Linked DNA regions of Notamacropus eugenii. The protein of the gene in region 1 purifies or fractionates together with the protein of each later gene. This does not show direct contact. Links are inferred from orthologs where the notes say so. Each region holds a gene or a part of one and is shown on either strand. Other genes may lie near its edges.

Evidence for each region.
Region 2: the proteins of VIM (region 1) and SYNC purify together in Homo sapiens (affinity purification with mass spectrometry; 3 studies listed by BioGRID and IntAct, counting the BioPlex papers as one, with this or other methods). This does not show direct contact. The link is inferred for Notamacropus eugenii from reciprocal best matches to the Homo sapiens genes VIM and SYNC.

Annotation. Positions count from the first base shown.
Region 1 is NC_092874.1:57,865,830-57,873,805, forward strand, and holds the start of VIM (vimentin), read left to right. Parts: upstream 1-4,701; 5' UTR 4,702-5,061; coding exon 5,062-5,954; intron 5,955-6,643; coding exon 6,644-6,704; intron 6,705-7,976. UniProt on the Homo sapiens protein: Vimentins are class-III intermediate filaments found in various non-epithelial cells, especially mesenchymal cells. Vimentin is attached to the nucleus, endoplasmic reticulum, and mitochondria, either laterally or terminally.
Region 2 is NC_092876.1:77,188,286-77,196,581, reverse strand, and holds the start of SYNC (syncoilin), read right to left. Parts: upstream 3,268-8,296; 5' UTR 3,124-3,267; coding exon 3,053-3,123; intron 1-3,052.

The sequences.
Region 1 (7,976 bases):
CATTCTCATCTCTTCACTGGAGCAAAACTTATTACAATTTCACACTGCTCATGTTCATTTTACTGTTCTTTCAATCCACCCTGAAGGCTTGAAGCTCAGGACTTGAGCTTCTTGAAGTCAGAAAATATGTTGTTTTGGCTTTTTTATCCCTACTGTTATCACATCTCCTAGCACATACTAGGCACTTAATAAATGCTTGCTGAATGATTGACACATGGTTTTCTGGTTCTACTTATATCGATCTGTCAGGTCATATGCCTTGCCATGTTTCTATGAATTCCTCATATTTTTAATTTCTAATGGCACAATGATATTCCATTATATCATTTGTCACCACTTTCTTAGTCACTAGTCAAATGAATGATGAGATCCCAAAGTATTTCTAGTTATTTGCTTCTATAAAACTTTAAAATTCTGTGATTCTGTGACAAACACTGCTATAAATATTTTTGTATATATGGAACTAATGTGTTCTCAAAGGGTGAGTTAATGCACATCTAGAAAAGGGAGAAGTTATCACAAAGAATCAGCATGGTTTCATCAAGAATGGGTCATACCAGACTACTTCTATTTTCCTTCTTTTTGTGACAGCGTTACTTGATGAGTAGATCAGCTGTAGATGAAGTTTTATGTTCTTCAGCTGAGGAATAGATGTTACCTCCAAATTTATCCTATATCTATCTTGTTTGATTTATATGTTTCTTCCCCATTAGACTCTGAGTTGCTTAAGGGTAGGTACTATTTTCTTTTTGGTCTTTCTTTGTATTCCTAGTACTTGGAGTTGTCCCTGGAATAAATGCTAGTTGACTGGTGTTACAGTCAGATGGATTAAAAACTGGTTGAATGGCCAAGCTTAAATGAGTTAAAGATTTTATATCAAAACTAATGGAGGGCCTAAGGAATCTGTACTTGGACCCAGAGATTGTTTGACATTTTTTGTCAATGATTTGGACAAATACACAGATGGCAGGCATACCAAAATTCCAGATGACAAAAAGCTTGGAGAAAAAGCTAACAAGTTGAATGACTAAGTCAGGATCCAAAAGATCTGGACTGACCAGAATATTAGGCTGAGTCTAATAAGATGGGATTTAAAAGCCCTAAGTAGATAGGCTTACACTTCTCTTGAAAATGTTAGCTTCATGAATTCAAGACAATGAACATGTGGCTAGTCAATGATTTGTAGGAAAAAAAATCTGGGGGATTTAGTGGACCACAAGCTACAAATGAGTCAACAGTCTGAAATTTGAATATTTCGATGACTTTTGTGATTTCACTAATATGGGCATTCTCCTATGGAGCACAAGGCAACCCGTTCAAATTCTAAGAACTGATTGAACATTTAATATACTATTTTCTGTCTTCAATTATTTTGATTAATTATGATCCAATCAAATTCAAAGCAAAAGGAATACCAAACACTTATTAGCTGTCTTCAGTGAGTAGAACACCATGCTAGGCACCAGAAGTACACAGTTTAGATAAGAGTAGTACCAACCCTACATCTCTCAGTCTTATAAATTGCTTTGCTTTCTATCATTTCAAAGCTTGTTTCTTTCTCTTCATTAGTACATGAAATAACATTTGAATGCTTTCTGAAGAGGCTTACACAGTAATCTCCCCCAAAAATGTAAGAATGAAGTCAGTAGTTTCCTTGTCATCAAGAAAATTAGATAGAACATAGGATTAGTTCTTGCATTTAAGGCAAGATACATCCATTACATACATCCATCTTAGATACATCCATTTTTACTATATTTAATAAATCAGCAATATTTGTTAGGTGCCCACTGTGTGCTAAACATTCTACTGGACACTGTATTTATTGCTTCAGAATTAATTCAACACTTGCTAAAGCCTGCCAGGCTCTTGAAATAAATGCATAAAAGTGTTTCTCACAGTAATCGCGTCAAACTTTAAGGTGATTTCTGATGGAATAAAGGAAAGTGTGCCTAGTGGACTGGGAATATTTGGTATGGAGGGGGGGAAAGCTTATTGAAGACATGATAACCAATTTCTAATATTTGAAGGGTTGCCACATGGTGGAATGCTTAGATTTGTTCTCTTTGTACCCTGGGAGCAGAGGTAGGAAAAATGAGTGGAAGGTATAAAGAGGCAAAGATGTCCTTGATGTAAGAAAAGCTTTCCCAAAATTAGAGCAATGCTAAAGTGAAATGTGCTGCTTGCAGAGGTCATAGAATAATAGGTTTAGAGATGGTCTTTCAAAGTCATCTAGTCCAACTTTCTCACTTTACAGCTGAGGAAACTGAGGTTCAGGGAGACATGACTGCCCAAGGACACATAGATAGTAAGCAACAGGTATTGGCTTCTCCAGTTCCAGAGGGTTTAAAATGGATGGGGGAATCAGCACTTGTTAGATCCTGTAGACAGCGATCTTGTCCAGATATGGACTGGATGGTAGTTTCTGGGGTCCTTTGTAATTGTGGTTCTGTAATTTGCCAGAAAGTCCACAGAATAAGAGCGGTACTAGGACATGCCAAACATGTTGTCAAAACAAATGTTGAAAAAAATCACAGCTAATTGAAGAGAAGTGGTGAAAAGAAGGATACTGGTAACATAAAGAATGCAAGCTGGACTTTCTCGACCTTTTTAAAAATAATACTGTCAAACCTCACCAAAATCTCTTTTCGGTTTATTCAGAGGTTTATCTTCTGCCAATGAGTCAGTCAATAAGCATTCACAGAGTTCCCAGGAGGTACAGAACACTAAACTTGGCTGAACAGTTTTTTAAATATAGAATGTTAGTTTCTTCTATACGGTGGACAGAGCCTTTACCCCCTTTTCTTCCCTTATGGGGTGATAGATAGGCTTTCTTATTCTAAGGGTTCCAGGCAACCTCACAATGGACTTACATTTCCTAAGCAGCAGTTAAAATAAAGACCTCTCAGAAAACAGGATGGTAACATGGAACACAGGCTGCTCTGCCAGTACAGTGAGCCCCAGGAATGTTCTTTTCGTGTGACCCTCGCCTCCCAGGGAAAGCATGAATAAAGAAAGCCACAGTGCAAGATTTGTGCTTCAAATGCTCTCACAGCTCAACCTTGTCAGCTCCATTTGCCCAATTTAACTGAAATGAGGAAAACAAACTACAGTCTTGACTGAAAGAGGCTTGTAGAAAGAGACCCATAATAAACTTCTTTATTTAACTCTGAACTACATTCCTTAAATACAGGTAACTTTCAGCATCCAAAGGGAAAAAGAAAACAGGATCCTACTTTTTTTCCTCTCTGTATCCCTAGGAGCGTCAAGATGCATTTATTTTTGTAGTAGTCCTTTAGTTAATGCTTTCAAGGGTTTAAAGTTTTACGATTTAAAATTCAAGGGATTAAAATCATTCTAAAACTAGGATAATTGTAGCTTCTAAGCTGTTACTTCATGCCTATCGTCCCCACTGTTCAACACTGTTCTAACCTCACTAGATAGTTAATGGCAAAATGTTTGAGTTCTGTCTTATTAATCTCTAACATCACATTGAGCTTCTTATCATTTACCTAGTACTGGTACATGACAGGACCTCTGGTTTCCTGGATCAGGGTCCTTGGCTCCTATGTTAATTCCATGACTCCCTCTCACCCCCCAACCCATCTCACAGCCAAGGAGCAGAAGAACCTGCAATATTCTACGATTGCTCATAAGCCGGTATCATTTCTCCATATCGGTGGCACTTTTAAAATGAGAAGCTGTAATGTTTTGTACTACTCGCAATACAAACTTTACGTTCTTGCAAACATCCCTATTTCATCATTTGTGGTATAATTGCTTCCCATTTAAAATAATTCATTAGTTAAATCTGGTCTTAAGGGTTAGCACTTCATTAATCTTTTAATGGAGCTATATTTATACCTCCGAAATAGTTTCTGGATATTACTACAAAATGAGAAAATCAGTCAATTCAATTTGCTTTTGAAAGGCTTGTTTCAAAACATGGCTTTTTTGGAAGGGAAGGTTAACTTTATATGGTTTCCTTCTTACATAAAACTTTCTGATCATTTAAAAGATTTACTTCATGGAAGGAGAACGGCCCAAACACAGGCTTGAAACGTGGACACTTTGAAGATTCTCCCCTTCCGTATACCTAGAGGGGATGGGTGGATACCCCCTAACTCAGGCTCTTCAGACGCACAAATCGACAGAAATGTCCTCCTAGTAAGAATGGAGCCACACCCCTTCATCCTGGAGCGAAGCCCTCTTCAGGATAGAAGAGTGAGAAGCAGTACCCAGGCAGGAGGGGGCCCTTTTAAGGGGGGGCACATAGACATCGTCTGCTACAGCTCAGAGTAGTTGCTTGTCTCTAAGTTGGGTAGAAAATGAGCGCATCCAGACCGGAGGAGAGAGTTTATCTAACGGTTTCTGAAGCTGAGCGTTGGAGACGAGCCTCTCCAAGCAACCACGGCCCAGTGATTCATCTCCAGTGATTCACGGTCCCTTCCCCCCTCCTCCCCCTCCGCATTCCTTCCATCCTGCTCTACCGCCTCCCCTCCCTCGGACTCCAGACCGTCCGATTCCGGACAAAACCCGCAGGGTCCCTAGACACCGAGGACGGCCCAGCAGGATAAATGAATTCGCAGAAATGGGCCCATCCCTCTTCTTCCGCTTGGCACAAAGGGGAAGTAACAATGCCTGAACAACTTCATTTTCTCGAGTGCACGCCCCCTTCTCCCTCCTCCCAAATCTCAGGCTCTTTCTTTCTCGCTGCCTCCTTCCCTTATGGCCGAGAAATCACTCTCCCCCCGCCTTTCCTCCCCCTTGGCCAGGGTCTCGCCACTCTGGTCCTTCCTGGCAGAGTCCCTCTGGCTCCTCGGGCCTCCCTTTCGCCCTTTTGGCTGGAAACCAAGGTGCCCCTCCCACCCCCTCCTACTACGCCTCTTTGGAAGAGTCTCCTAGACCTCTCTCCTCCTTTTCCAATGTCGCGTTCTGAGTGGGTCCCCCAACTTCCTCTAAGCTTTCTCCTACTTTGTCAATGTGCCCAAAGGTGAGAATCACCCCCCTCCTGCGGGGGATAATCAGCAGGATTCCGAGCCCAGCCCCAAAAGTAACGGGATGGGGCTTTCCGCCCAGTTTGGGGGAGACGGGGGAGGGCTAAGGGCGGCACCTCCGCCCACCCTGACCCCACCCCTGAACACCCTCTCCCCGTACCCTCCCTACTCTGTCCTTTCTCCCTGGGTCCCCATTGGCTGGCGAGTAGCCGGGGATTGGCCAACGGCGGGGGCCCCCTCCGCCGATATAAGAGTCGCCCACGAAGCGGGGTCCCGCTCTCTGCCTCTCCAGTCTCTCGGCTCTTGTCGCCTTAGCTGCAGCCAGCGCCGCCGCCACCGCCACCGCCCCTCTCTCTTCGCGGGTCGCGCTCCACGCAGCAGCCCTCCAGCCATGTCCACCCGGTCCGTATCCTCCTCCTCATACCGCAGGATGTTCGGCGGCAGCAGCGCCGGCGGCCGGCCCAGCTCCAGCCGCAGCTACGTGACCTCGACCACCCGCTACAGCCTGGGCAGCGCCATCCGGCCGAGCAGCACCCGCAGCGTGTACTCGTCCTCCCCAGGTGGCGTGTACGCTACACGCTCGTCGGCCGTGCGCCTGAGGAGCAGCGCCCCGATCCCGGGAGTGAGGCTGCTGCAGGACTCGGTGGACTTCTCTCTGGCCGATGCCATCAACACCGAGTTCAGGAACACCCGCACCAACGAGAAGGTGGAGCTGCAGGAGCTCAACGACCGCTTCGCCAACTACATCGACAAGGTGCGATTTCTGGAGCAGCAGAACAAGATCTTGCTGGCCGAGCTCGAGCAGCTCAAAGGGCAGGGCAAGTCGCGCCTGGGGGACCTGTACGAGGAGGAGATGCGGGAGCTGCGCCGGCAGGTGGACCAGCTTACCAACGACAAAGCCCGGGTGGAGGTGGAGAGGGACAACCTGGCCGAGGACATCATGCGGCTCCGCGAGAAGTAAGAGCGTGCTAGCTGGCCGGGGTCCATTGTCCCTTTCACCTAGGTGGGGAGGAGGAGGGATGCAGACTGGCGGCTCCATCCCCGGTCTGTTCTGGGGCTGCCACGCCCTTGGGCCCTGGGGTGGGGGTGGGGGGTGGGGAGGAGAGGGAGCCCGGGCTGGGGAAGGAAGAGAAGTAGGGGACTGTGGTCTGGCATCTGTGTGGAGGTCGCCCCGCCCTTCATCTCCTGCAGCTCTCCACGGCTCCCTCTCTATTCTAACCATGCACTGGCCTTAAAAAGTTGCTCGAATGTCTCCTATCTCTTAACTCTCCCCTTGTTGGAGGCGGGAAAGAGTTTCACTAACTTTTCCCCAAGTTTCCTTGCCTCTTTTCCGAAGAGCCTCGGGAAAAAAAAAAGAAAATTATGGCCAGAGGGAGGGAGGCGAGACAAAGGGCAATGACGCCACGGCCTTGGTCACCCTCACTGAGCTGCTCACTTCTCCGAGTCTCACTTCAGAGGGTCCCCAAGGTGCTGCAGCCCCCACTCCCTCAAAGGAGCCCAGGAGAAAGAGCCCAAGTTAGCGGTCTACCCTTGAAGAATTGCTTCTTTCCCCCGGGGATGGGGTGGGGTGGGGTGGTTGGGTGTGGCCTGTCCAGCCCAGTTGGCGGTTTCCCGCTTCCTCCTTGGTTGATGTGTCACTCTTTCAGGTTGCAAGAGGAGATGATGCAGAGAGAGGAAGCCGAGAGCACCTTGCAGTCTTTCAGACAGGTTTGTAGCTTTCCTTCCCCGCCACCTTTGTCCATCGGACACGCAGTTCTAAAAGTTGGTCCTTAACCCCAACTGGGCTTCGAACAGCTTCCAGTCTGTTGGCGCAGCCCTCTAGCGGCGGCCAGGTGCCAGATCCAAGCTCCCCAGGAACTGGGGGATTGGCCTGGGTGTCACCAGAGAATACAAAGGCCGGTAATATAATCCTCCTTAGCTTTTAACTTTGTTTCAAGTTTTCAAAGAACGGGACAGTCTTCATTTTTCCCTTGCGTTCTGAGACGCAGATTTGAGCAACCTCAATTTGAGTGGGATTGCTATTTGCTGCAGTCAAAGAAGTTTGACATTTTTGTATTGTTTCCAAGCCAAAAGAAGTGCAACACACAGTGGTTCAAAAAGTAAAATAAATGTTATTTTAGGAAGGACTTGCTGTGAATAAATAGAATCAAGACAGAAACTAGATGGGGGAGGGGAGGTAGAGAAAAGGGGGAGTCCTATTGTAGAGCAAACTAGATGGGGCATAAAACAAAAGGGCTCCCACACACAACTATTTTTTTATCTTAATAAGGGTGAAAAGGAGCCATCTGTCCAGCTGGCTATAGAGTATTAGTGGTTTCTATGGGATTCACTATGGAATGTAGATAGAGACTTTCTGGGAAGTGGGGTCGCCTAGAGAGAAAGAATAGGAGTCTTTGTGTTCACAGGAAAGCTTGCAACAGGCTGCATTCTTACAGAATATGTAATCACTTTTAATTGGAGACGAGTATTTTATAAGAGAAAGTTATACTTAAACCTGAGCAGCACATTAGATATGACATTAGAACTTTTCAAAGGACTTTAGTCAGAGTTGGTCCTGATAGGACCCCTCTTCTATCTTTTTGTTTGTAATTTCCTTTTCCAGAAAAGTTTTTCTTTAAAAAGGTGTTCTCATGGGTGAGGGGTAACAGAGTAGAAAGCTAAACTTGGGTTTCGAGTGGCATTTTCAAAACAGATATGTTATGCTCCAGAACTTTGAGAAATCTGAGGCTGTATGAAGAGAATGGAAAATGAAGGGGCAGCTAGGTGGCAACAGTGCTTAGAGAACCAGCCCTGGAGTCAGGACGACCTGAGTTCCAATTCAGCCTCACATTTATTAGTTGTGTGACCTTGGGCAAGTCATTTAACCCCATTGCTTCAGAAAAAAAAAGGAAAATGAAGTATAGAATGGTTACCTTGTTTAAACTTTGAGTAAATATATGCACTTTTGAGAGCATACTTTAAGCTCATTATTAGATTAAG
Region 2 (8,296 bases), on another chromosome or scaffold:
CTAGCGGCTTTTACGTATACATACATACATACTCTCTCTGTCTCTCTCCCTCTTTCCCTCTCTCCCTCCCTCCTTCCCTTCCTCCTTCCCTCTCTCTCTCTCTCTCTCTCTCTCTCTCTCTGTCTCTCTCTCTCTCTCTGTCTCTCCCCCCCCCTCCCCCTTCCCCTTCACTTCTTAAAGTGATTTCCTGAAAGTACAGCAATCACCAGGGAAACTGACAGCCAGTGTGATCTGGGTACACTGGCCACAAAGAGATGACAAGAAGATACAGGATATATTTTCTTTCTAAAGACTCTTTTAAGATCTAAATGAACTAAATGGTCATGAATCTAATTAATCTAAAAAAATGAATCTAAATGGTCATGCCCACAAGCAAAGTATTTCATAGAATGTTATGAACTCAATGGAACTTAATCCATGCTCTAGTTTTCCAAATTAGGAAACTGAGGCTCAGAGAGGGAGAATGATTTGCTTGAGGTTACACAGTAAGTGGAATAACTGGGATTTAGGTTCAGATCTTATACCTCCAAAGTCACTGCTCTGCCCACTGTGCCATAACACCTCTGTCTTGGAAAGAGAAATTCAAGATTTGTGACTAGGATGTAAGTCCTCACCATTTACACTCCAAATTCCTGGTAGAGGCCCTTCTTATTTCTTACCATTGTGGCCTAAATCCTTCTGTGTGACTCCCATGCACCCCTTTCTCTGCCCTTTGTCAGCCCCTGAGGAAGCCTTGAAGGGGAGACCCCAACAGGTTGTTCAGCTATATCTGTGCAGGAGAATCCAGCAGCTTTCTAGAACCTTAGAATTGGGAGGAACCAACCCTTCATTTTGTAGATGAAGAAGTCGAGGAAAGAGAAAGGATTTGATTAGTCATACAACTGGTAAATAGAGTCTGAACTGGAACCCAGGTCTGCTGGTTCCCTCTTATCCTTGCCCCAGTTACTGAATGGGCCACTGCAACTTTAGAAAAAGTTGTCTGGACACAGAATATATTTTGGAATTGCCTTGTTTACTCTTGAAGCAGTTGAGGAAGGAGCAGATCTTAGAAGAAAAAAACTCATTCCTCTTTCAAACATTTGTGCCTTCCAACGATATGAATTTCAATGATCCATGTTGTGGGCTGACTGAGTTACATCTTTATGTCAAGCTGGTTCTCCTCACTCAGTCCTCCCACCCCCCAGCTTCCCTGCTCAGCTATGAGATCATTAAAACTGATTTCAATGTTTCATTTCCCACCTCAAGATAAACTACTTTGCAGAGTGGGCCCTTGATAAATGCTGAATTGAAGGGGGAAATGCTGGCACAGTGGATAGACTGCTGGACCTGGAGTCAGGAAGACTCTTCTTCCTGAGTTCCAATCTAGCCTCAGACACTTACTAGCTGTGTGACCCTAGGAAAGTCACATTACTCTGTTTACCTCAGTTTCCTTATCTGTAAAAGGAGCTGGAGAAGGAAATGACAAACCACTTCCATATCTTTGCTAAGAAAACATCAGATGGGGTCATGAGAGTTGGACATGATTGAAATGACTCAACAACAAAAAATTGGAAAGGTAAGGCAGAGGCCTCTGATGTCACTGGTAGAAGGAACAGCACCTTCGCTGCATTTTAGAGCCTTAGCCAGTTGTCTAGGCTAGAGCACTGAGAAGTTAAGGGATCACAGGATCCCAGGATCACACAGACAAAATGTGTCAGAGGCTGGGCTTCCTGGCTCATGAATTTGCTGTCTACCACATCTTACTGATTCATTCCATTTAGCTCATGAAAGGCTTGTGGATTATCTGCGGTTTGGAATATCCATGTGCCCAAGGATCCTACCCCTTGTCATTAGTGTAGATAATTGAGAGATGACTCTGTTAGCTTCCAACTCTTTAATTCAGTGTCCTGTCATTTGGCAGGGGTATCTGAAAGATGGATGAATCCTTTAGGGACTTGGCTTCTTGTATAAACTGAGGGTCCAGAAAAGCTTTTTACACAGCAGCTCCTCTCCCTAAAGAAGCAAGTCCAGCATTGGAGGAGGGGCAGGATTATGGGAGGCTTCTGGTAGATGGGGAAGAATTTAGCTGGGACTATAAGGCCTATGACCTCGGGATTCATTTGGGTCTCAGGGAGCCTCCCTCTTCCCTGCCTAATCCTTAAGGGATTTTGTACCTTCGGAGTGTGTGTGTGTGTGTGTGTGTGTGTGTGTGTGTGTGTGTGTGTGTGTGTGTGTGTGGACAATTTCATCTTTCAGCCCCTGGGAGACTGAGGCCACTCAATCACTCAAGCCTCACCTCAGGGCCATGCCCTCCTGGGGCTCTGGTTAGCTGACAAGAGGGCGGAGAAGGGAGCAGTTAAAACCCGCCCTCTGAAGCTCGCTTTCCACAGGTAGAGCCTAGGCTCTCTCCTCTGTGTTTTCCCAAACATCGTTGGGCCCCAAAAGCAACAAGCTGAGTGAAGAAGCAACAAGCTGTGCCATCCCCCCACCCCCCGACACACACTGCTTTAACGCTGGCCAGGAACCAAGAGGCCAGGTGCAGGAGAACAGAGCGAAAACCCTCGGTAACTCGGGGCTCTGGCCTCCCTACTTTGTCTTAGGCAAGATGGGGGTGGGGGTGGGGGGCGGGAAAGGAAAGACCCTAGAACACAATAGGAGACCGGGTATTTGGCATTCCTGCCTTCACTGTGTTTGATGATTCATGCCCATCAGAAAGGACTGACTCCCTTTTGGGGGGAAGGTCCCCCAGAATAACACCAATCAGTTCTGCGAATACGCACCCGCACCCAGACGCCCGGGCTGGGCTGGGCTGGGCGCCGCTGCCCTTAGTTGAGTTTTCGGGATTTCCCGGTCCCCACCCCGGGGCCAGGCGCTGGGGAGCCCCGCAGCCCGGCTCTGCACATCCCCACGTTCTGGGCGGGGCCTGACACCTAACGGATCGGGGGAGGCCCTCGGGGTGGCGTGGGAGGGGGGAATGTGGAGAAGGGGCGAAGGAACGGGAAGTTTGGAGGAAACCAGCAGGTGGAGGAAGGCCGCTTCCCGAGCCCCAGCCCTCCCCACCGGGCAGTCCTACCTCTCCAGCCCAGCGGCTGCGGCTCCTTCCCCGCAGGGGCCGCCCTCCCGGGGCTCCTCCGCGCTGGCCATGGCTGGGAGGGTCTCATGGAAAGCTGCAGCCCCGGGTTATTAATATCCCGGCCAGTGCCTCGCCTCGCCGCCAGCTGCAACACCAGCTTGCAGCCCAAGACACCGGATCCCTCCGTGCTCCCTCCCCCCGCGGCGCGCCCACTTGGCTCAGCTTTGGCCTTGGGCCCAGGGGGCGGAGAGAAGCGGCCCTGGACTGGTCAGCCGGCCCTGCCCCGGAGCTGCCTGCCCCGGCTGGGTGGCGACTGTGGAGGAGGGGCCGCTGGGGCTGGGGGCGCCTTAGCGGGGAGTTGGGTCCAGACTGATCCACAGACTGATAGAGCTGTAGGGATCATCTCTAAGGGGTCCTTTGGGGGGGGGGAGGGGAGAAAGCCGCCTCCTTTTGCAGAAGACCGTGGCACAGACGTGGGAAAGACTTGCCCAAGGTCACTCAGCAAGTTAGTGGCAGAATCAGAATTAGAACCCGGTTCCCTGTCTTTTCTTTCAATATTCTTTCCTCTACCCCTACACCTCCTCATCACTTGGTTGGATAGGGAAGGAGGACTGGACTGCAGGTGCAGGAGAACGTGAAGGGGTGCTCCCGCTGCCTGCCCCATTCCCACTCCCTCACACAAGCCCCGCCCTCCACCTCTCCACACCCCACCCCTCACAGCTCAGGCTCCACCCTTGGGCTCAACACTTCCCCTTCGGATGATCCCTGAAGGGGAGGAGAGGGTACCACCTTCCTCTCCTACCCCACCCCTAACTCCTTGACCAATTAAAAGCTCCCTCAGCCTGACCATCCAGATAAAGCTGAAATGGCAAACGCTGATGAGACGGATGGCACCAAGACAGCTTGGCACCAAGCCCTGAACTCAAGTGACCCTCTCAGAGGCGATGCCATGGAGAGAGCATTGTTGTTTAGGTGCAGACTGGAGGAGATGCGCTCTGAGGTCCTTTCCAACCTGGATTCTTTGGATTTCTTTATACAGTAGGTAGGACATGCATGGAATTCATTACTCCAATAAATTTCTTTCATCACCTCAGTTATGGTAAATCTGAGATGGCTGAGGACAGTGGATCTTCCCCACCTTCTAGTGCAAAAGCTGGGCAGAGTTCATAGGATCTATACCCAAAAGGCACCTTGGCATCATCCAGGGTAATGTCCTAATTTCACAGAGAGAACTGAGGCCCAGGGATGTTAAATGGCTTGCCCAGGTCACACCAAGATAGAACATGGTGTTGTGAAAAGAACATTGTACTTGGAGTCAGTGGACCTGGTTTTAATTACGTGTGATGATATTTGGCTGAGAGACATAAAAACATGACTCCTTATAATTGAAAATAAGTTTGCTTGTTTTGAGACATGCCATCTCACCCAGACTGAAAGGGCAGCTGTCACTCATTCACAGTCCCAGTCCCACTTCTTATGGACAAGGAAGCTTTGACTCTATTTCTGGTTCAGCCCTCCTTAGGCAGATTGGCAGCTTACCAGCTTAGTGGCCACTCTCTCCTGGGGGCTCACTCTATACTGGTGCCAAATTTCATGTAGACATCCAAGTGACCTTCGTGCTACTGCAGCTCAAAACTCCCAGGCTCAAACAATCCACCAGCCTCAGCTTCCCTCAGCTGAGAATACCAGACTGTGCCCCACATGAGTCTGAAAATTAGTATTTTGAAGAGGACGGTGGAAAGACGCTTAATGAATGTGAGCAAGCTTCAATATATAACAAAGAACAGTACTGAAGGATATCATCAAGGGAATGGATATGTGAGAGAAAAGAGTTATGTGAGGAATAAAAGTGAATGGCACTGGTGTTCCATTGGTATTCTCACAATGTCAGGAGAAAGCCAGGAAGAATCCAAGAACCATGGGCAGCCCCACTATGGTGAATGAGCCTAGACCAGAGTCAAGGGCATGGGCAGCCGTGGGTAGTTAATGATCTGCATTGGGAGAATATCCAAGTCAATGAGATCTCAAGTCCATTCAAGTGTTTGAGTATGGACTCATATAAACTGATGCTGAACTAGGAAATATACTCACTGACTGACTTGATACCAGTGAAAGTAACTAAAATGCTACAAAACTCAGAGAAACTGAAATCGGTCTCAGTCTCATAGAAGAAAAGGAAGCATACATTCCTTCACTCCGTAGTCCTTTGTTAGTTGGGGTTTGCTCATGTTCAGCTTTATTATAAGGAAAGACTGGGGAAGGGAAAGAGTGACATACTGGTAAATGAATATTCAAATATATCTGTGATCTCAGTTCAGGAGTCCCCTCTAGCAAGGCAAATCCCAGCTCACTCATGCCTACCTATCCTCTGCCACTCTTGTCAATCCAAAGTACTAGAGGGTAAGTTCAGTTTAAAGAACTCTTGCCAAGATATCATTTGAGAATAGAAAGACAAGTGCAAACAGAAGAAAAGTGGAAACAATTTGCTAAAAACCACCATAAACTGTTTCCTCCATTGCGGTTAGTAGACCCACCATACTGGAGTCCTAACATCACAGTCCCTGAGGTGCTGATAGAAAATACAGAAATGGCAAAGAAAACAAAGATGAGGAAGGCAGTCAGATTGAACCAAGAATAAATAGAGGAGATAGAAACTGGTGTTTTTAGAAGGCACAAATAAAAGTTATTTAAAATAAAAAATATAATCAATATCGATCAATAAGGGTATCCTACAAGAAATAAAAGTGCTCTGTGATGAGTGTTTTGTGGGAGTGTCCATAGATTCCTGTGAGTCCTTTGGTTGTTTTCTTTTTTTTTTTTTTTGTGGAGTGAAATAAAGATTTTCCTAGCTCATATTCATTTATTGCCTTGAATGTTCATCCTTGGGGACCCCCAGCCACATTTGGGGAAATTAGACACAAGCTATACCTAACCTATTTTTAGAGGTTTCCCAGAGTAAACTCTAACTGGAGGTATAACAAGTCAAAAAAAGAAAGGATGACCTAATTGGGTAAGTGTTCTAGAACATTCTTGGATCCTATGAGCCCTCAAAGGGCTCTGGGGGGCTCTGGCCAAACATTGCATTTTGCTGTCTTCAGGAGTAAAGGACCGTATGGTTCCAAGATAAGCCATTTTTTCAGGGACTAAGCTACAGAATTAAGAAGGAAGAAAACTAAATGAATGAGGTTCCCCTCACTGGAGGTGTTCAAGTAATATACTGGATGACCACTCATCAGGCTACTGTAGAGGGGAATTTATGCTTCAGGGACAGGTTAGAGTATATTTCTTCTGAGTCTCTGTATGATAAAATTCTCTAGCCATTTTGGTGAGGGGAAGATAGGATTTTACCCAGATTTATATTCAGTTCACTGTCTATGTGAATGAAGTATAATGGGTTCTTAATAGGAAAAGAGGGACATGATCTCAAACAAAGCCCTAGCCCTTACCTCCGCTCTAACTGCCCACATGCACCTGCAAGTTGAGTTGTCCCACCAGGACTGATGAGGACTTGTCCAGAACCAGCCACACTTTCTCACTTGTCCCCCTTGTCACTGAAGGGATGTCATTTACCTGTCCTGTCCTCCCACCTCCCTCTAGCCTTTACTTCTCCCACATCTATTCTTCACTCTAATAATTCTCCCTGTTCTCCCCATCAATCCTGCTCTGGCCTCAACTCCCTCTCCTCCCCAGCCTTGATCTTATGGCCAGCCACTTCAATAATTCCTTGTCCTCTTTCCTTGAATTTGTCTTCTTCCTATTCTGCAGTTTCTAGATACTGCTAACCTCTAGTCCCACGTGGTTCCAGCTAAGTACTGCTGGAGGAAGTCACTAAATCATGCTGACAGGTCCATTAGGAATTTGAGTCTCTTCTCTCAGTTAGGCTCTCACTCCTGCGTGGCAAAGCTTTTATTCATTGTTTATAAAATCCTCGTCATTCTCTCCACAGCAGTCATTCCAAACTTCTCATCTCAGACTCCAGTTTTACTCTGTTCTCACTCTGAGCAGTATCTTTGCTAGCCACTTTAATGAGAAAATTGAGGCCATCCTACATGGACTACTCCAATTCCCATCTTTCCCTCCTCTGAATCTTTCAATGCTATCCTCTTCTGCTTTCCCCATCCTAGAGGATAAGGTGGCTTTCCTTCTTGAAAGAAAAAAACTAAATCCCTTCCCCTGCCTTAGATTCCATCTCCTGTCTGCTGCAGGTCTGTGCTCCATCAGTCATCCTTCTCTTGCTTCAGTATCTTTCTTTCTTTTTTATAAATTTATTTATTTTTAGTTTTCAACATTTATTTCCATAAGATTTTGAATTCTAAATTTTCTTCCTTCCCCAAAATGGCCTGAGATCTAATAGAGGCTCTACTCTGTTTAGTATCTTTCACCATGGCTCCTTCCCCTCATTCTACAAGAATTCTTAGTTCTTCCTTATTCTAAAATCAAATACAAAACAAGAACACATAAACAAAGACAAATCTCCAATCACTGAACCTTACCCTGGACCCTACCACTTCCTCAGGCTATTGTGCTATATGTCGCTCCTTCCCTTTTCTACCACACTTCTAGAAGCTGTAGCCTAATTGATTTCCTCAGTTTCCTGATCCCATACTCCCTCTTCAATACTTGATAGGCACCTCTGTCTTCACTGATGGAAGAAAGTTTACTGTTCAAGGTAATTAATGACTTCCTTGGTACTAAATCGAATAGTGTCCCTCTCCATCAAACTTGACCCTGTCCCCATCTTCTCTGAACTCTCTACAGTAATTAACATAGTCTCCTTCTTAAAAAAAATTGTTTCTATAGTTTGGCATCACCTACATTTCCTAATGTCTCAATAGAGAGGTGGGTGATTATAGGTAACTAATAGGCATGGTCCCTCTCTTGGCTGTATTCCCCTCTCAAAGAGCCATTTTAATAAAGAATAAAAAGGGGGGAGTTCAGTAAAATTAGCCAATATCTAAAAAGACTGAAATTATATATAATATTCCACACCCATAGTTCCCCATGTCTACAAAAAGCACTCTTGACCTCCATCTCCTTTTGTTTTTAACTTCCTTTTTCCTCTCTTCTTGATGTGTTTTTCTCCCTTGGTTTCCATGACTTGGTATTCCTATGGTTCTCCCATTTACCTGGCAGTGCCTTTCCCCTGACAATTTCATCAGCTCATCATCTCTCTCTTCCTTAAATATGGGTGTTCTCCAAGTTTCTATTCTCAGACCTTTTCTCTTCTCTCTACTCTCTCCCCTG